3 linked regions of the Caenorhabditis elegans genome follow. The protein of the gene in region 2 interacts with the protein of the main gene of each other region in a pairwise test. Each region holds a gene or a part of one and is shown on either strand. Other genes may lie near its edges.

Region 1 (6,791 bases), on a different chromosome or scaffold from region 2:
ATTCGGTTTGTAGTGAAATTGTAGTTTGGGACTTATACATTTTAACCAGTATTCTCTTATTTTTGAATTTTTGGAAACTTGAAATTGTATTTTGTATTTCGTACCCCACACTAAAAAAAACTATTCAACTTTCCACTACTACTCCTGAATTTCTGGTTTCCAGGGACAGCTCTCACGGTCCCATTTCCAAGACAAAGCATCATGTTGCTTAGCAATTGTGAGTAACAAACAGAACGTGGAACACAAGCCGGTGGTAAGTCTTCTCAGCAGGTACTATAGATGTCATTTGAAGAAGGAAAGGGTGAGCAAGGCGTTCTATTGTCGTAACAAGACCATTCAGACTCTCGTAGCATTTATCGATTCGTCACTGTGTTTATTCATTTCGTCTATCTTTCCTCCTCTTTTCATTGCACAGTGTCCCCACCTGACGGCGGGAAATACGCACTACATAAACTCGTCCCGATTTGAAGTGAACTTTTTTAATTCGCATTTTTGTAGTTTTCTAGGTTATTTTTCTTTTAATTTGAAAAGTAAATTTTACAATAAATTTGACTTGATAAGTCGTTTTTTGCATAGACATTCAAAATCATATGTCCATGTTTCTTAAACTTCTTCACTTTTTTCTCGTACAAATCGCTTAGATGGGCTATTTCTCTCTTATTATATGAGCACAACGTTCTCTCGCTTGCAATGTCAGAAATAGATTGCAGTCTTATCCCTCTACAAACTGTGCATGCACATTCTCTGCGTCTTTTCATTCCTATCAGTGACTAGACTCTTTTTCTTCCAGAAAAAAAACATTAGATGACAACAAACTGTTCAGTTTTTGCAGATAGAGTTCGGCTTTTGGAAGTTAAGTTTTCTGGCATTTATGAAAAAAAGATTGCTCATTAGGACCGTCAAATTTATGTAACGTTAACATAGAAAATATCAACAATGAGAAAAGCAAGCAAAACATGTTTGAAAGCCTTATTGTTTTAAAATAGATAGGTAGCGGAATTTATTTAAGAAAATACTTTTATTGAGTCAAAAGTATTTGTTTCTTTAACCAATAAATTTTATGTTCCCATTTTTTTTGAACTTCAATGTTTCCAAGTTTAGCAGTTTGATATAATATTCAAAACTAACGAAAATTTGATCAAAAATTTGAACAAAACGAACAAAAAAACAAAAAAACAAAAATCTACAAATCCGCTTTTTAACTTGAAACCCCTAAAAATATGTAATTTAAAATACACAAAGTAGCCTACAGTTAAACTCTGTATGTTATCAAATTCTGAAAAACACAACGAAATTCAGTATTCTGTTTTCTCCTTTTCAACAGCCCATTTCTCATTCCATTTGACAGCTCTATTTTCCTCATCCGTCACAGGACTGCGCGATACTAAAAAAAAAGACACATGTTTCTTTTTTTCTTGGTATTGTTACCCAGTAGTCTGAATAGTAACATTTCTTGATTCTTATGTGATGCTTTTGGTGGCAGCACCCATTTTTCTTCTTTACTCCATCCTCTATTTCTAAATTTATGTCACTAATTTTATCCCATTCATTCTCACGCCTTGTTCGCTCTTCATTTTTTCCATGTTTCTTTTCCTTCTCTTCTATTGCTGTAGTCTCTCCTCGCCCTCCTCTTTTTGTCGTTCAGTCGCGTGTCAGCTGAATTCACAAAGAGAAACGCGCCAGCAGTCTTCTTTTAACGCAGTTTTCGTTTTCCGTTCTTTTTATTGTAATATTGCAAGTGTTTCCTGCTGTCGCCGCCCAGCAGTTTTCAGTCCGTTTGTTCCCAGTTGGGTGGCTGAAGCTAACCTTCAATTCAATTTAACAATTGTCTTCGATCTCTAGATCTCTTCTCTGCCGTTGGTTCCATCTCCCAATTGGCTTTAATTTTTCACATATGACCTATGGAAGATACAGGTGAGATTGTTGTGAAATGTTCAATCCATTTTTAGAATATATTTTCAGAGCTGACGTGGCCACCCTGTACGACGTCTTCTGCGAACTTGATGCCCCGAAACCTGGCGAAAAGCTTGCTATTTTAAGACTCCAGTATCCCGACGATTTCCACGATCCAGCTATTGTGAAAAGTGTTCAACAGTTTGCATTTCCATGTCAACTACGAGAGTACGTAATTGTTAAAAAAAAACTAAATTGGTATGGAATTAAAATGTTTTTATAATATTTCAGAGTAGAAGTCGACGCAGTGCAATTATTCAGTTTTGTTCTAACCGATTCGAACTCCAAATTCTCGTTTGGATTTTGCCGTTATACACCAAGAACCGACACGTGCATCTGCTTCTTGAGGTGAGAGTGATTTTCCATCATTACTTTTGACAAATAGCCGTCGTTTGGTTTTGTCATGGGAAAATGAGTCCTGAAGAGCAGAGGAGAAGTATCATATTTCGTTTTCTTTTCTATTCCTTTTAAATAAACTCTTGCAAAAACGTTAACGAAAAAAAGAACAAAACAGAGTTCGTTTTTTCTTGTGACTTTTAACTGTTGTTGTTGTTGTGTGATGCGAAAAAATGAAAAGAATGTTAAACGCGTAGGATAGGATGACGAATATGATTGCAATATTTTAAAAAAGAAAACGATTTGTGATGGTGAACATTATTATCACAAGAACTTAAAAAAAAATACAAAACCGTTTGCTTGGAACTAAAATATGCTTTAAAAAAAGGCGGTAGAAAAGAGTAGAGAAGTAGTCAGAAAAATGTCTCTTTAAAAATATGAATATTTTACAGTGGATTCTTCTGGCCAAATGTCTTCTTCAAAGCTCTTAACGATATTTCTTTGGTGATAGGTTCAGCGCAAAGGGAAGATGTTGAATCAGTGCTCACCAAATTCTATCACACAGATATTCCAAATATTGACGAATATTTACGATTTGCTGATAGTAATCAAACAGATGGAGTAAGAACCTTAGTTTATATCTAAATGTGCAATATTTTCTCAGCACAACTATCGAGTAGTGTTTGCTGAAAAAATTCCCGATCACACGCGATTACCAACTCTTGGCTCGGATAAGTTTTTCCTCGAGTTCTACAACGCCATCGACCCTCGGCAGATGTTAGCAATCTTTGCAAGTCTACTGAAAGAACGTCGTATTCTGTTTACTGGGCGGAAAGTTGGATCGTTGAGTTCATGTCTCCATGCGGTCTCGATGCTTCTCTACCCAATGTGTTGGTGAGTAATATAAAATTTCTAACAAAAATGTTTACATAAATATTGGTAGCAAGAGGCATTGCAATCGCAGTTCTGTGATAGCAGTTCTGAGATAACTAAGAAACTAAAACAAAGTACGTAATACCACGTAATAAGAAATCGTGGTTAAGAAATAAAAATCAAAAGCAATGTAAAAGGGTATACAGTATAAGATAACTTGTTATATTATTTAGTGATGCATATACATAGAATTCAAGTTTCTCTTAAACAATCTTGAAAGTACTTGGTGAAAAATTTGAATTCAACATTAACATCACGAAACATTTGGTCTTGCGACTGTATTTAATCATAGTTTTAGGAACAAAAATTCTGAACTCAATGATGAGGACGCTTATTGAAAAGCTATTAAATTTTCTAAAATGTACTTCAATGTATATTTCAGGCAATCAGTTTTTATCACAATTCTTCCCGAGTCTCTCGTCGACATGGTAATGGCACCAATGCCATACTTGATAGGCGTTCCAAAAACTGTTTTGGAAAATGCGGTTTGTGAATTCGAATAGATGTCCCAATATTGTATTTTATTTAAGAGGCTGAATATAAGAGACATCGGCGAAGTGGTGATTGTTGATATTGACGAGAAGACGTTAACAAGCCCATTCGATGATGTAGCAGCAATGCCTCAAGAAGTTGTAAACTTTTTGAAAGCACAACTTCGGTCGCAGTCAGCAATGGATGACACTTTTGCAAAGCACTTCTTACGAGCTATGGTTATGCTGTTTGGTGACTACACAAGTGGATTTACTGGTGATACGCCTGAAACTCTGGTTTTTTCCAAAGAGCGGTTTGTGGTGCAACAAAAACCATCCTACCAAGCATACGTATCATCACTATTAGGTGCGGATGGTGTGCAGTACCTAGAAAGAGTGAGTTTCCGCACAAGCATATTGATAAGTCGCAATAATTAAATATTTTAGTTCATCCACGACCGATTAGAATTGTACAAAGACGGACACGTGCCAGGAGACCAGTTCGAAATTGAAATCGAACAGATGGATCTGAAAAACCGGCCGGTAAGTGATGAAGCAAATGTTATCATAGCTTGTATAACGCAATGACGTTAACTCGTCGAGTGTGCGGACATATTCCAACATTCAGCTAAATCATCATGAGCCAATGGTGCATACTACGGTGCAATCAGTAAGATTCGTGTTGTCAAACAGTATCTCAGCAACTTGATTTTCAGTTTAACCAAGTGCATGACTTTTGAAAAATTTTCTAACTTGTTCGGCATCTAATTTTTAATGCAATTGAAAAGATTTTCCAGGTCAAGGAGAATGCCAATGACGTCATCGGAGCATTGAAAACTTCTGGAATACAAGTATTTTTCAACCCATTTTAAGTTATTTGAAACATTCAAATTTCTAGATTGCAAATCGTCTCCAGAAACTAACGCCTCGGGAAATACGAAAAGCAGCGGCAAGAAAAAAAGCACACAATCAAAATGGATTTGAGCAGTCGCCAATGTCTTTTGATAACCTACAATGGGATGCAACGGTTTGTTAGAAAATAACAGAATGTATTAATATTTTTGAATAGTTCCAGAAAAGTGACGAAAACGAGGGCTTCCCGGTGGAAACAAGGATGGACAATGTTCCAGTAGCCAACCTCATTGATTTGGATGAACCTTCTACAAGTTCTGCGTCTGGGCTTACATCAGTGGATGAACAGTACTTTCTTCGTCCCTCCGAACTTGCAACTAACAACCGCAAGTGAGTATTTGATCAAATAATCAACCCAGAAAAAGTATAACGCTGTGGCTCTTTGTAGAACTTTTTCGCTCTATTTTTCTGGCAACCAACAATTATCTGTTCGTTGTGCGCCTGCCTGAGTTTAATCCACTTTTAATCTATAAGCTTCTGGCTGTTTCTGTCTAGGTAGAAGTATTTTGGAAACGCTCGGAAATCTCATAATTGCTTATATGTAGAATAAAAAGTAATGTCGCCTTATAAACAAAAATCATACTTTGTTCAAATATAACGAGGATCAAAAAAATTGCAGTGTGTCCAATGAGAAGTCTAATGCATTTGATAACTTCTGATGATTTGGTTTTCTAACACCGTTTCAAAAATAGTTTCATAACTAAAAAGAATTAAAAAAAATTTCATTTCAAGCTGGTGCTTGAAATGCTGGTGCTTGTACATGCTGGTACATTTTGTATAGTAATCTTGATCAAGATATAAAACATGTATGTATTGCCAAAACCTGGTAATTTGAAAACCAAATCTGTTACTATGTTATTCGCAAATCAGTTAATTATTTTACAAATGTTCAGGTCGCCATCTGGAGCAATAGGAAACGTATTTGCCGACCCATTTGCGACGTCACCAGAAGGCTCGGCGCCTCCATTGCCCTCTCGACCCCCACCACCTCTACATCCTCGCATGATTCCTGGCTCATCGGTCCAGTCAATCTCTCCAAGTGGATCATCAGCACCTCACCTACTCCATTTTCAACAAAGCCATCAGTGGGCACAAGTCAGCCAAGTAGGAAGCGTACCATCAGCGATGAACCCATCTGCACCCGATTGGTATGCTCCTCCGCCGCTACCTCCCCGACGACCTGCATCAGTTGGCCCATCGAGCACATCGTCAGGGCAACCAGCAACTGCTTTTGCCACTAGTTCAGCAATACGAGTCCCCCCTCCTCCGGTTCGGAGCAAATGGGAAACTTTCGAGTAGAATACAATCATGTGATAACAAAATGAAAAACAAATTATTTATGTGTATGAAATTTGAGTTTCTATGGCTAGAGTCGTATGGTTACTTTCATAAATTTAACCCATTTCTTTCCCCCTTCCCACTAGTCAAATTATTTTGTTTTTCCATATTCTCATATTTTTTAATCGTTTGTTCCTTGTACTCCTGCGAGACTGAAGTCACAACGATAATTCAGTCATTTTATTCATTTTGTTTAAGTATATATTTTTCAAAAATCCAAAGGAACTTGTCAAATCAAATTGTCATCGAATGCCGGCATTCTAACTTTTTCTTGTCAAAAGTATATATTTATTTATTTTTCTGGTTTGGAATAAACAATAATGTTGGGTGACTTTTCATTCAGTTTATGTTATTATTTCAATTTATTTCAATTTACTCACTTATTTTAGCATCTATCGAAAGTACTTAAAAACTACAATATACTGGACAGCTTCCATTTAATTTTTTTTGTTTTAATTTTTGAATGGAGTAGCGTCAATACGGTAAATATTTGAAATAGATCTTTTGTGACAAAAATAATTCAGTTGAAAGGATAAAATCGTTTTTTTTAGATTTCAAAAAAGTTATCCCAACTGGCGCTATAAAACTTTTGAGACTTTGGAAAATATCCCATAATTTTAAATGGAAAAAATATTATGCTTTGACAATTTTCACAGTATTTACAATATATTGGAAAAGTGAACCAAACGTATCTACGACTACCCTGCATCATAACACTATTTCTCCTGCATATTAACAGATGGCCGTCCTCGTCTCCTCCGCTCTTCCCCTTCCTGGGGCCCCTGCCGTCTGCTGCCTTTTGCGACCGTCTAGCTTCTCTCACTCAATGATTTCTATATTATTTCTCTT
Region 2 (7,637 bases):
ATTATTCAAATCATTCTTTGCTTTCTCGGCGTCCTCTTCCTTCATAAATTTGACGTATACGTTTCCGACCATGTGTTCTCCGATATTCTCACAAACGTTGATCTCCTCCACTTCTCCATATTTTCGCTCCATCTCCACAAAAACCTCCTCGTAGAAATCGTCAAAATAGCGCTGTTCCTGATCATTCCGCTTGCCGACTTTATCGAAAGCATCCGCCTGACGGACATCCACTACCGGATTGTGGTAGAAGTTTTTGAGCACAACTGTTGGCGAGAATGTCGGTGTATGATGGGCTCTGGAGCATTTGTCTCCGTGGCGGCAGGCTCCTGTCTGCAAAAATTATTTAATTATTGAATTTTTTCACAGAAATCCACAACAAACCTTGAAGAAAAACGAGCAATTGACTTTATCCTTCTCAGTACCATAGATTGAGGCCAGGTACTCGGCTCCGGAGAGCCCGTCACCATACGACATTGGGATTCACTAAAAAAAATGATTTTTGACGAAAAATTCAATTTCAGCGGGAAAACCCTGAGAATTACGATTTTTAAACACAAATTCTGACGGAAATACTTCAGAATACAACGTAAAACTCAAAATATCAAGAATTCAATGCAAAAAACAAACTGCGAACCTGAAACAGATAGAAAATGGAAATAATAACCAACTGCCCTGCTAAATTCGAAAACGCAACGAGGCACGCTTTTGTGGGCGGGGCGAGCGTCGGCAAGGTGAGCGCGCGCGTTTTTCTAGCGTTTTCTCTATTTTTCTTTTTTTCTCCCATGACCAGAGATTAATAAATAAGTTGAAATTTAAGTGAATTTCTCTTCAATTTTCCGCGATTATACCGATTAATTCATGCACCAAGGCTGAAAGAACATTTAAAAATCAATTGGAGCTCAAAATTATTTGGAGAAAACTCAAGAATACGAGATTTTTCACTCTAAAACTAAAATTTGTTCTTAAAATGCAAAGTTTTAAATGAAAAAAAAAACATTGATTTTTTTAAATATATAAAAAAGGGGTTTTTGATTCCTTTAAAATTCTCTGCGTCTCTTGCATCTCTCGCCGCGCGCTCTCGGGGACCACTCCTCTTTTGGGGCACGCAAAAATCGATAAGCTTTCGGCGGCGCTTGGCCTCTTTCTTATTTCTTCTTATTTCTCAGTTCCTGAATCCAAATTTACAGAAATTTCGGCGCATTTTCTCTTTTTGTTGCGAAATTCGCATTTTTAGCGTTTTTAATCGAAAAACCCCCAATTGACAAATCCGTGGGAAGTTTACATAGAAATTTCCAGCTAAATTAGGGAAAAATCACGAATTTTAGCCAAAAAATTACATTTTATTGAGCCGCCTCGCTCGCCGGCCGCGCCGCGCCGCGGCCAATTTTTACAGAAATGGCCGAGAGGGAACCTAGGCCACGGCCACGACCGCGACGCAGCTGGCGAGCGGAGCGGCTCAAAAAAATCTATTGTTTGCCCAAAAACATGTGTTTTTTCATCATTTTCGCTGATTCTTCGCATAAATTTCCAGTTAAATTAGAAAAATATGGCTCGTTTTTTCCCTTTTTTGTTGCGAAATTCCCATTTTTTGTCGAAAAATCCCCTGTTCTCCAGATGACAAATCCTTGGGAAGTTTCCGATGCCGAATATCAGAAGAATTTCGCAATGTTCGGCCAATTAACCGGAGGACAACCGTTTATGGATGCGGTCACTGCACGAAATGCACTAATGCGCAGCAATCTGCCAACGCAAGTGCTTTCTCAGGTTGATATTAAACTTTAAAAAAAAAAATGTTTTTATTCAAACAATTTCCAGATCTGGGCGCTGTCAGACTTGGATAAAGACGGCCGGCTCGATATTCGTGAATACTCTATCGCGATGCGACTTGCTCTGAATTGTCTTGCCGGAATTCCGATTCCTCCGCAACTTCCGCCTTCCCTGCTGGTAGTTCCCGCCAGAAATGCTCCACCAACCTGGCCTGGAAGCCGGCATGGCAGTGTAGACTACTCACAAACTCTTCCACCGGCCATTGATCGTCGAATGTCGCAGTCATACATCCCATCTGCACCGGTTTCGATTGCCGGAACTCCATCTAGCAGACACAACTCGATTTCAGCTGGAAGCCCTTTGAATAATGATCGCAATGTCTTCGAAGGCCGGCAGCTGGAAAACTGGGCGATTCCTCACCACAATAAATTAAAATATTCTCAATTGTTTAATGCTCTCGACAAGGAACGTCTGGGCTCCCTGAGCTCACAAGTCGGACGGAGTGCTCTCGGGCTTTCAGGCCTTCCTACCAATGTTCTCGCGCATATCTGGTTTTTGTCAGATGTGAATAAGGATGGAAAGCTATCAGTGGATGAGTATGCGATTTCTCAGTATATGATTGAAATGTTCAAAGTATGTGTTTTGTTACCGGCCAGAAGCTCTTTATTCAAAAATTGCACTTTTTCCATGAAAATCCAACTTTTCTGATCTAAAATTGATATAAAAATGTAGAAAAAGGTTCTTTCCATCTGAAAATATTGTATTTTTCATGTTTTTTCAACAAAAATAAGGAATATTTTCAATTTTATTTGTCAAAAACTTGGAATTTCAAAATAAAAAGTCAAGCCACGTGGACGCTCCTCCCACTTTGCAACATGCGGCGCGAGTTTTCGCAACACTGCCGCACGGTTGTATTTTCTTCACGAATTATAGTTTTTCAGTGAATTTTACAGGATTTTTCAACGTTTTGCTTGTTTTTTTCAGCAAAATTTCATGTTAAAACGCTGAAAAATCTCAAAATTTCAAATTTTTCTGTACGAAAATCGGAAAATACCCTAAAATCATGAAACACCATAAAAATTTCCGCTGAAAAACTTAAAAAAATTTTTTTTTCAGAGTGGATTCGCGCTTCCAAAAATAACCCCGCTGGAACTTGTCCGGATGTGCGGAATCTCATCAAGATCAGCCAACAATACCCCTGAACTCGAACCAGGAGCGGAGCCACCACAAAAGTCACCAGCTCCGAAAACTTTTGAAGATAAGCGACAGGATAACCTATCTAAAGGTCAGGCAGAACTGGAGAGACGACGTAGAGTTCTTGAAGAAGAGGAGCAACGAAGACGAGCAGAAGTAGAGAAGAAAGAGAGAGAAGAAGAAGCGAAGAAAAATAGAGAAAGACAAGAAAAGGAACGACAGGCTGAAGTTGAGCGGCAAGCTGAACTAGAAAGACAGAGAATAATTGAAGCTCAACGGGAGGAAGAGGAGAAGAAGCGGAGGCTAGAGATGGAGAGACGCAGAGAGGAGGACGAGAAAATGAGAAAAGTTCAAATGGAGAAGGCGAAAGTTAAACAGATGCAGGTACAGATGCCTGAACAGAAAAAATGGAATTTTTATGTGGATTCTAGGCGATTTTTTGAGTTTTTCTTTTGAAAATTGAACTTTTGGAACACAGAAATTTTATTTACTCATGATAAAAAAAAACCAAATTTAAATCCCTAATTTCAGAACCAGAAGCAACAAGAGAACGAGCGTCTTGCACAACGTCAGCAACGAGAAAAAACGCTGCAATTTCAATTACAAGCACTTGATGAGAAGGTTATCGATGTTGAAGTGGACATTGGAAAAGCCAAAGAAGCAGTAGCAGAAGTGACTGGATTTATTGAGAGAATGAGATCTACGAGAGACGAGAAAGTCGCGAGAATTAAAGAATTACAAGAGACTAATCAGAAGGTAATACGCGTTTAATCTATATGCAAATTACCCAAAAAAGTTCCAGACAGCTATCGAATCTCAAGAACTCGGCCATCAGCTTCTACAAAAACAGTCGGCTCACAAGGAGACAACGCAGAGAAAAAGTGAACTAGAAGCACTGCGAAGGAAACGAGATGCTATTCGAAAAGCTATAGAAGATGCCGCTCTGGAATTATCCACAGAAAAAGAGAAATCGTATAATCAGACGGAGATTTTAAAGACGAATAAGGAAAAGTATAAGACTGATGTTTATTCGAAACTTGTCGCAAAACGAGAAGAATATCGAAATTCGTTTGAGCTTCTGGTTCATGCTCAGACACATGCCAGGAGCAAAATTGGGGAATTTGAAGCGAAATCTGCTCCAGCTTCAGCTGCTCCAGCTCCTGCTCCTGCTCCAGCTCCTACTACCACCAACGGATTCCCTGCAAACTTCAACGATGCATTCGGAGAATTCGATAAAACCGATGCAAGTCAACGTTTCGACGCGGATTTCGGTGCCACGTCGACAGCGGATCCATTTGCTCAGATTGCTCAGGCGCCAGCTCATTCGAAGGGTGCTGTTGATCAATCGGCGTTCAATATTCATGACACTTATAAGTGTCGAGCTCTTTTTGCGTTTGAAGCAAGATCCGAGGATGAGCTCAGTTTTGAACCAGGTGCTGTCCGAACAGCAATATGTCCCTTTAAATGGCCTTTTGTTGTGTAGATTTACGAGCTTCTCCGGAAAAAGCTCGAAATTTCGGAATTCGTAGGAGAAAAAGTTTGGCATAAAATTCAGGAATTTTTAAATTTTTCCAAAAAAAAATCTGAAAAATTGCAAAATTCCACTAAAATCAAGGAATTTATCTAAAATTTTTAAGAGTTTTTCCAGAAAAAAAGCCAAAAAAAAAGAAAATTTCAATTTTTTTATTCTTATCTCTCATTTAAAATGACTTATTTAATATTTTTGAAATAGTTGCATGGAAAACAAATTAAATGCATAAAAGATGTGAAAAATTTCAGAAAATTTGAATTTTTTCGAAAAAAAAAACTGAAAAATTGCAAAATTCCACTAAAATCAAGGAATTTTACTCAAAAATTCTCAAACTGAGCTGAAAATGATTCCAAAAATTTTGAAATTTGTAGGAGAAAACGTCCAAAATTCAGGAATTTTTAAATTTTTACGAAAAATTATTGGAAAAAAGAACTATTTTTCCGCAGTTTTTTCAAAAAAATTTTGAAATTTTTCAAAAAGTTTGGATTTTTTCGTTTTTGGCAACAAAAAAAACCATCACTAATCAATGTTTACCTAAAAACCCCGTTTTTGTGAAAAAAAAACCCTTTTTTTCCCAAAAAATACCAATTTTTGTCAGAAAAAACTTAACAAAAAGTGTCATTTTTGACAAAAAAAAGGCAAAAATTCGAGAAAAAGTTAATTTTTATTTATTTTTCTTCTAGGAGACGTCATAATCGTCTTCCAATCCCATGCAGCTGAACCAGGATGGCGTGCCGGTCAACTTCGTGAGAAAGTCGGATGGTTCCCAGAAGCATTCGTCGAAGCAATCGCAGCAGTACCTACTCCAGGCGGTGATCCACCTATTCAGAATATGCCACCAAACATGACGCCGAGCTCATCAGTAGATCAAATTGGAGTGAAAGCGGCGCGGAAAGCGGAAATCGCAGCGGCAATGGGATTGACAGAAGGTGGTGCTCCACCTGCTTCAAGTGCTCCAGCAGCAGCAGCAGTAATATCTCAATGTATTGCACAATTCCAATGGAGAGCACGTAATGAGGAGGATTTGTCATTTGCAAAAGGAGATACAATTGAGGTGGAGAGCATTTTGCTGCGAAAAATCCAAAAATTGTCTGAAATTCTTGAGCTTGAACCTGAAAAAAATGAGATTTTACAAGTTTTCCGGCAGAAAATTTGAAAAATTTGAAGTTTTAAGCCAATTCTTAGGAGTTTTCAGCCTATTTTCCTGCAAAAACAGCTTGAAAATGTGATTTTGACGAATTTTTGAAAAAAAAATTGGATTTTCGGTGAAAAAATCGATTTTTAATCTATCTTTCAGCTAAATTGTATGATTTATAAAATAACCTTTTTTCCCAAAAAAAACCATTTTCCCCATAATAACTCTTTTTTCTAAAAAAAAACCTGTTTTCTACCAAAAAAAAACCCATTTTTATCAACAAAGGAACCCAAATTTTCAACAAAAAAAACCTTTTTTACCCCAAAAAAACCTATTTTTCAGCAAAAAAATGAGCGTGGTTTCTGGGGAATTTTTCCAAAAATTTGAAAAAAAATTTAGGATTTTATTCCCATTTCTTCTTTTCACGATTTTTCTTGAATTTCAGACTATTTTTTTTAGATTTTTGAAGGTACACCTTAACTCGAACTAATAACATTAATTTCAGGTACTAGAAAAGCAAGAAATGAAATGGAAAGGTCGAAATCCTGCCGGCGAAATTGGATGGTTCCCGAAAAGTTATGTGAAAGAAGTCGGAGCAACCACCAGCACCACGACTCCGATTGTGTCTCCTTCGAAGGCTTCTGCAGGAGCTCCAGGAGCAGCAGCAGGAGCTCAATACGACGTGGTACCTTCCGATGTGACATTACAAGCCTCCGAAACAGCCCCCCAACAACAACTTTACACTGTGATCTACGATTTTGAAGCTGTCGAGACAACAGATTTGGCACTGCATGTCGGTGACACAATTCTAGTGCTCGAGAAGTAAGTGGAGAGAGGAGCTCTCGCTGCTCTTGACAGGAGCTCATTTGGAATTGAATTTTTTCATTTTTTTGATAGCTTTTCGTATTCTTGCGCTATTATTATTATGCTTAAACGAAAGGTTTCGGGGTATCAATTTATTACATTTTGAACCAAATAAGCCCAAAATTTTTAAAATAATTGTTTCCAATTTTGCAAGGAAAACCCTATTTTTGGCAAAGTAACCTCAAAAAACTATTTCTTGTCCAAAAAAACCTTTTTTTTTTCAAAAAAGTCTAATTTTTGTCAGAAAAAAATCCAAAAATGTGTCGTTTTGCCAAAAACACCAAAAAAATTCCATTTTTGCAACAAAAACAGCTAAAAAATACATTTTTCCCCAGAAAAAAAATCATAAAACTCAGTTTTGCCAAAAAAAAAAACCAAACACGCGTCATGTTTACCAATAAAACTTTTTTTGTTTTAAACCGATTTTTTCAGAAAAAATCCAAAAGTGTCATTTTTAACATTAAAAAAACCTAAAAAGCTATTTTTTCAAAAAAGGCACAATTTTTCTTACTTTTGCCAAAAATGTGTCATTTTCGTCAAAAAAAACCCTGAAAAAAAAACAATTTCCAAAAAACACAATTTTTACCGAAAAAAAATTAAATTTAAAAACCAAAAAAAGCATATTTTCTCAAAAAAATTAATTTCTCCACAAAATTAAAAAAAAGCCCGACAAAATCCAATTTTTGCAAAAAAAAACCGAAATACTCTTTTTTTTCCAAAAAAACTTCATATTAAAAAAAACCCCAAAAACCCAAAAAACTTGTTTTTTAGCCAAAAAAAAATTACTTAAAAACTGAAAAACTGACACCAAAACAAAAATATCAATTTTCAGTGATTTAAATCAAAAAATAATTTCAGAAACGATGAATGGTGGAAAGGGCGTTGCAACGGACGTGAGGGTATCTTCCCAGCCAACTATGTCGAGATATCAGTCCAGCAGGCAGGGGATCCGACTCCACCAACTCAAGCTCCAACTCCAGCGGCTCCACCAACCGTCCTCTGTGAAGCTAAAGTTGTCGTGGATTTTGTTGCATCGGCGCCAAATCAATTGGGAATCAAAGTTGGCGAAATTGTGAAAATTCGTGAAAAATCAGCAGCCGGCTGGTGGGAAGGCGAGCTGATTCGAAATGGAAAACCAATCGCCGG
Region 3 (5,284 bases), on a different chromosome or scaffold from region 2:
TCCTCAAAAAATCCATTTTCGACACAAAAAGCAGCAAATTTCTCAACAATAAATTCAAAATTATTGCAGATCGACGTGAAAGAGGCGAAATTCGTCGAAATCAAGCACGACGACTACGTGGATGAGGACGATGAAGCCGTCGAAGTGTCGTCGGACGATGATTATACAGAAGACGATGACTCGGATGAAGAGTAGCGAAATGCTCCAACAATTGCTCTCCAAATTATTCGTTAATTTATTTTTCAATTTTTCTTCAGTGGCCCCCCATTGTTCTCCCGCACTTTTCTCCAAAAAAATTTCAATCAATTTCTCTACTGGGTTTTCTGTTCTTCTAAAAGTAATTAAATTAAATATTTTATTTAAAAAAATTTGTATGTTTTCGTGTTCCCTATGCATTATTATTTCTATTCCCTTCCCACCAATCACATCACTTTTGAAAATGTTTCCTCTACATAGTTACATGAAATTTAGACCCTTTTTTCTATGCTTCAATTAAAAAGAATTTCAGAGACAGGAGCCCGAGATTTTTTAAATTCATATCATAAATATTATATACCACTAAAAAAAGGAGAAAGAGAGAGAGAAGACGACAAGAATTGATGTGAATTCCACGTGGAAAAGAGAAAAGGCGCTCCAGCGCTATATCACAAGGAAACAGGGGCGAGCGAGTAGAAAAGGAAACTTGTACACTAGGGGGGAAGGACGGGGGAAAACATAAAATATTTAAATTATGGGAATCAAACAAACAAAGAAGAAAACATCAATAAATTATCGATTAATTACTGCTGATACGGCGACTGGCGGTATCCCGTGGCAGATGGTCCTCGTGCGAATGGATTTCCTCCCGGGGCTCCGGCGGCTCCCGGTGGCGGTGCTCCGACTGGTGGGAATCCGGTTGGCGGTGGTCCGTAGGCTCCTGGGCCTCCTGGAGGTGGTGGTCCGAATCCTCCTGGGCCTCCTTGTGGTGGTCCGTACGATCCTGGGGCTCCTGGGCCTCCTGGCGGTGGTGGACCGTAGCCTCCTGGGCCTCCCGGCCCCTGTGGTGCTCCGAAGGCGGATGGTGGTGGAGCAAAAGCGCCCGGTGGTCCCGATTGTGGTGGAGGGGCAAAGTTTCCTGGAGCACTTGATACTGGCGGCGGTGGCCCTCCGAACGATTGTGGTGATGGAGCATGGAATTGCTGGGGTGGTGGAGCTCCGAAGGATCCTTGTGGTGGTCCTCCCTGTGGTGGCCCTTGTGGCGGTGCTCCAAATCCTTGCTGGGGAGCTCCCTGCGGTGGTGGGGCTCCGAATTGCTGCTGCTGCTGCTGTGGTGGAGCATATCCTCCATACTCTGATGGTGGTCCAGACGGTGGTGGCCCGCCAAACTGCTGCGGTGGAGCAAATCCTTGCTGCTGCACTGGAGTCGACGAGATCGAAGAGTGCGACGCCATCGGTGGTGGTGGAGCCTGGAATTGTTGCTGCTGCTGCTGTGGAGGCGGTGGAGCAAACTCCTGAACTGGTGGGCTCGCCGCATTCGACGTTGGGAACGACGGGATCGTCGCGTTCGGTGGCGGAATCGCTCCGAATTGCTCAATTGGTGGCGGTGGCTGGGAGCTGAAGCTAGTGTTCAGATCATCGGGAATTTGCTGATGTGGTGGTGGAGCATAGTGATTCTCCAACGGAATCTCCTCCTCAACGTGCGCCGGGCGATGATTGAATTGCTCGTGAACCGACGGTTGGATCGTCGCCGGGAGCTCGGCCTTCTCGGAAGGCACTGGCGATGGTGGAGCCGCTTCGAAGCTCTTTTGGAACACAATATTGTCGTGGTGAGATTGTTTTGGAGCCGAGAGATTCGCCACCGATGTGTTCGATTGTTCGGCGATCTGGGCAACGTCGAGAGCACTGAGAGCGCCAAGAAGCTTTCCAACATCAAGCTGAAAGAAAAATTGAATTAAAATTCGTTTTTCGCTAGCTGTAGTACTAGAAATTCCAATTTTTAGCCATTTTGTGTTAAAAATATTGAAAAAAAAAACCGATTATTTGGATAATTTTGTTTAAAAATCAATGAAAACGCTGAAATTTCTCCAATTTTTCAGTGAAAAACCAAAGATTTTGTGAATTTTAAAAACAAAATTGGTTGAGGCTCACACTATAAACAAAAAAAAGCTGCATAGCCTCACTCAAGCTTTAGCTAATTTGGTTGAGGCTAAAGCTACAAACTACAAAATCACCATAGCCTCACTCAAGCTTTAGCTAATTTGGTTGAGGCTAAAGCTACAAACTACAAAATCACCATAGCCTCACTCAAGCTTTAGCTAATTTGGTTGAGGCTAAAGCTACAAACTACAAAATCACCATAGCCTCACTCAAGCTTTGGCTAGTTTGGTTGAGGCTCACACTACAAACTACACTTGTTTCTTAGCCTCAACCAACATTTTTCAGTGTTTTTCCGGATTTTTTTTTGTCTAAAAAGCTCAAAAATGCAGCATTTTCGATGAAAATTCTGCAACATTTTGCATTTTCCCGCTCAAAATTGCGCTTTTCAGCTCAAAAATCGTTTTTTTTCGCTCAAAATCCTCCTTACCTTAATCTGCTCGACTTGCTTCTGCACATCGTGCACAGCCTCACGAGCTCTCGAGTCGACAACGACGGTCACGTCGAGCGTGGCTCCAGACGTGTGAAGAGCCAGCAGGAGGTCGCTATCCTCGGCGAGTGTCACCAAATCGCCTTCTAAAATTGACAAAAATTGAATTAAAATCGCAATTTTCAGTGCAATTCCTACCTTCATCCTTGTACTTCAACACGAAATTCGCGTCGGATGGGAGAGCCAAAAGCCGCTGCACATTGAGCACGAGATCGATGAGTGTCAAGTCGTTGGCGTGGTGAAGTGACGTCTTGCGGACGACGTCGGCGTGACGAGCCTTCAGAATTGTGCTCGTGATGGCTCCGTTTGAATGCACCATCTGGAAAAAACGGGGGTTTTTTAAAGGGAAAATTGGGTTTTGCGGGAGAAAAAGAAAGAAAAAAGCAAAAAAAAACCGGCGAAAATCAACTAGAAATCAAGAATTAAACACAGAATCCGAATTTTGGTGAGGCTCAGGCTACAAACTACGAAATTGGCTCAGCCTCACCCAAGTTTATCCGGAGCTCATATTTTTACGAAAATTTTGGATTTTCATGTGTTTTGACAGGAAAATTCGACTTTTTAGTTGAAATTCGACCTAAACGAGATCAAAGTTTCAAAATTAGAGCGGGAGTAGGCCAAAAATATGGTTTCATCGATTTTTAGGCGATTTTCCTATCGAAAATCTAAATTTTCGGCTCTAAAACCCACTTGAAACGCTATTTTCTAAGATTTTAAAGCAAGAAACCGGCAGAAATCAAGAAATAAAATAGTTCCACGTGTAATATAATAAAGCAATTCCATCGGAATCTCTAGATTTTCGCGGGTTTTCGGTATAAAAATCGGGATATGGCACATAAAATAAGTAAAGATCACGAAAATAGATCAAAATCTTCAAGATAATATTGAAAAAATTGCGAAACTAGGTCTAAAAAAATTCCACACGGATTTTCATCGTTTTTTGCCGGTTTTCTGGGGTTTTTTTATGGTGAAAATATCGATTTTAACCTCTAATACTCACTTTTCTTGCTATTTTTATGGATTTTCTGCAAGAAAACCAAGGAAAAATGGGAAAATAACGGGAAGAAAAACGATCCAAATCCGCGATATAAAATTCCACGTTCGGTAAAAGTGCGCCGCAGTTGCAACACGCGTGCCAGGATTGCAAATAGGGTACGCCCCCCGGCTAGACTCCGCCTTTTCAGTTATTCTTTTCGCGATTTTTTGAATTTCAATAGTTATCGTGTGGATTTTTCGCGTTTTCTGAAAAAATATGATAAAATCCTCTAATTTCAGCTCAAAAATGTCGAATTCTGACGATGAAATACAGGAAATTGAGGCTAAACGACAGAAAAGTAAGGCTTTGCAGCTGGAAATTCAAAATATTTGAATTTTAAATCAAATAAAATATATTTCAGTGTCCCAAGAAGATTCCGAGGTCGAAATCGAGATTCTAGATGAGCCGGAGCAAGGAAAACTGAAAAATTCGTCGAGTAAACCCGAAAAATCAATAAATTAAGGCGAAAATCCGCGATTTTTCAGTGAGCGACGAGCAAAAACTGCATGAATTTGCAATAATCACGGCCACAGATGAGGCTTTTGCGCAGTCGATTTTACAGGATGTAGACTGGGATTTGAAGAAGGCTCTGGACGTTTTTTACGGGAGTGAGGCGTTCGCAGAGGCCAGAAGTGCGGCCGTAATGGGCGCTTCATCGTCTATGGCGAGCTCTGGAGCTGCGGTGATGACGGCAGAGGATTTGAAGGTTAATAGAAGAATATTTGGAGCAAAATCAAGCCAAACCACCTAAAAACATCGATTTTCGAGTTAAAAAACCTCAAAAATGCTGCAATTTCCGTAAAATTTCAGTGATTTTTCACAGAAATCATTGAAAATTTGAAAAAAATCACTTTTTCAACCGGAATTCCGAAAAAAAAAATTGGTTGAGGCTCAGGCTACAAACTACAAAATCGGCCGAGCCTCACCAAAAATTTCCAAAGCGAAATCTGGCGAAAATACTTGAAATTTTCCTCATTTTTTATCAAAAAAACTAAAATTTCCATAAATTTTCATAGATTTCCTTCAAAAATCAGTAGAAAAACTAAAAAAAAATCACGCTTTCAACCGGAATTCCGAAAAAAAATTGGTTGAGGCTAAGACTACAAACTACAAAATCGGTATAGCCTCACCAAACATTTCCGAAGCATAATACTCGAAATTTCCCTCATTTTTCTTCAAAAAAGCTCAAATTTCCATAAAATTTCATGAATTTCCTTCGAAAATCTTTAGAAAAACTGAAAAAAATCACGCTTTTAACCTGAATTCCGAAAAAAAAATTGGTTGAGGCTAAGACTACAAACTACAAACTCGGCTTAGCCTCACCAAAAAAAAATTCACTTTTTTCGCGATTTTTCCAACAAATTTCAAATTTTTTCAGGGATTCGAAGTCAGCGTAATGTCGTGGAACATTGATGGGCTCGACGGGAGAAGCTTGCTCACAAGAATGAAAGCAGTGGCTCATATTGTCAAAAAGTGAGCAAAATCGGCGATTTTTCACGGAATTTTCAAATTTTTAGTTGATTTTGATGCAAAATCAGCAAAAAAATCACTAAAAACCGTCAAAAATCTTCAAAAATCAACCTGAAACGCCAAAAAAAAATTTCAGCGTCAATCCGGACATCCTA

Evidence for each region. Proteins that work in one complex are often made in the same cells at the same time.
Region 1: the proteins of itsn-1 (region 2) and rme-4 interact in a two-hybrid assay, tested with the Caenorhabditis elegans proteins (2 studies listed by BioGRID).
Region 3: the proteins of itsn-1 (region 2) and tfg-1 interact in a two-hybrid assay, tested with the Caenorhabditis elegans proteins (3 studies listed by BioGRID).

The regions. Positions count from the first base shown.
Region 1 is NC_003284.9:10,372,714-10,379,504, reverse strand, and holds rme-4 (UDENN domain-containing protein), read left to right. Parts: upstream 1-1,735; 5' UTR 1,736-1,894; coding exon 1,895-1,914; intron 1,915-1,962; coding exon 1,963-2,121; intron 2,122-2,184; coding exon 2,185-2,301; intron 2,302-2,741; coding exon 2,742-2,910; intron 2,911-2,953; coding exon 2,954-3,183; intron 3,184-3,604; coding exon 3,605-3,707; intron 3,708-3,752; coding exon 3,753-4,088; intron 4,089-4,139; coding exon 4,140-4,235; intron 4,236-4,489; coding exon 4,490-4,543; intron 4,544-4,590; coding exon 4,591-4,719; intron 4,720-4,761; coding exon 4,762-4,934; intron 4,935-5,497; coding exon 5,498-5,903; 3' UTR 5,904-6,273; downstream 6,274-6,791.
Region 2 is NC_003282.8:17,118,070-17,125,706, forward strand, and holds the start of itsn-1 (Intersectin-1), read left to right. Parts: upstream 1-1,612; 5' UTR 1,613-1,614; coding exon 1,615-1,764; intron 1,765-1,815; coding exon 1,816-2,400; intron 2,401-2,883; coding exon 2,884-3,345; intron 3,346-3,492; coding exon 3,493-3,717; intron 3,718-3,757; coding exon 3,758-4,394; intron 4,395-5,175; coding exon 5,176-5,546; intron 5,547-6,132; coding exon 6,133-6,449; intron 6,450-7,349; coding exon 7,350-7,637. Other genes in the region: uaf-2 (Splicing factor U2AF 35 kDa subunit), read right to left, coding at 1-330, 382-474.
Region 3 is NC_003279.8:14,099,705-14,104,988, reverse strand, and holds tfg-1 (Protein tfg-1), read right to left. Parts: upstream 3,668-5,284; 5' UTR 3,624-3,667; intron 2,943-3,623; coding exon 2,762-2,942; intron 2,710-2,761; coding exon 2,564-2,709; intron 1,914-2,563; coding exon 780-1,913; 3' UTR 519-779; downstream 1-518. Other genes in the region: dnj-29 (J domain-containing protein), read left to right, coding at 70-195; tdpt-1 (5'-tyrosyl-DNA phosphodiesterase), read left to right, coding at 3,906-3,957, 4,021-4,095, 4,145-4,365, 5,038-5,132, 5,266-5,284.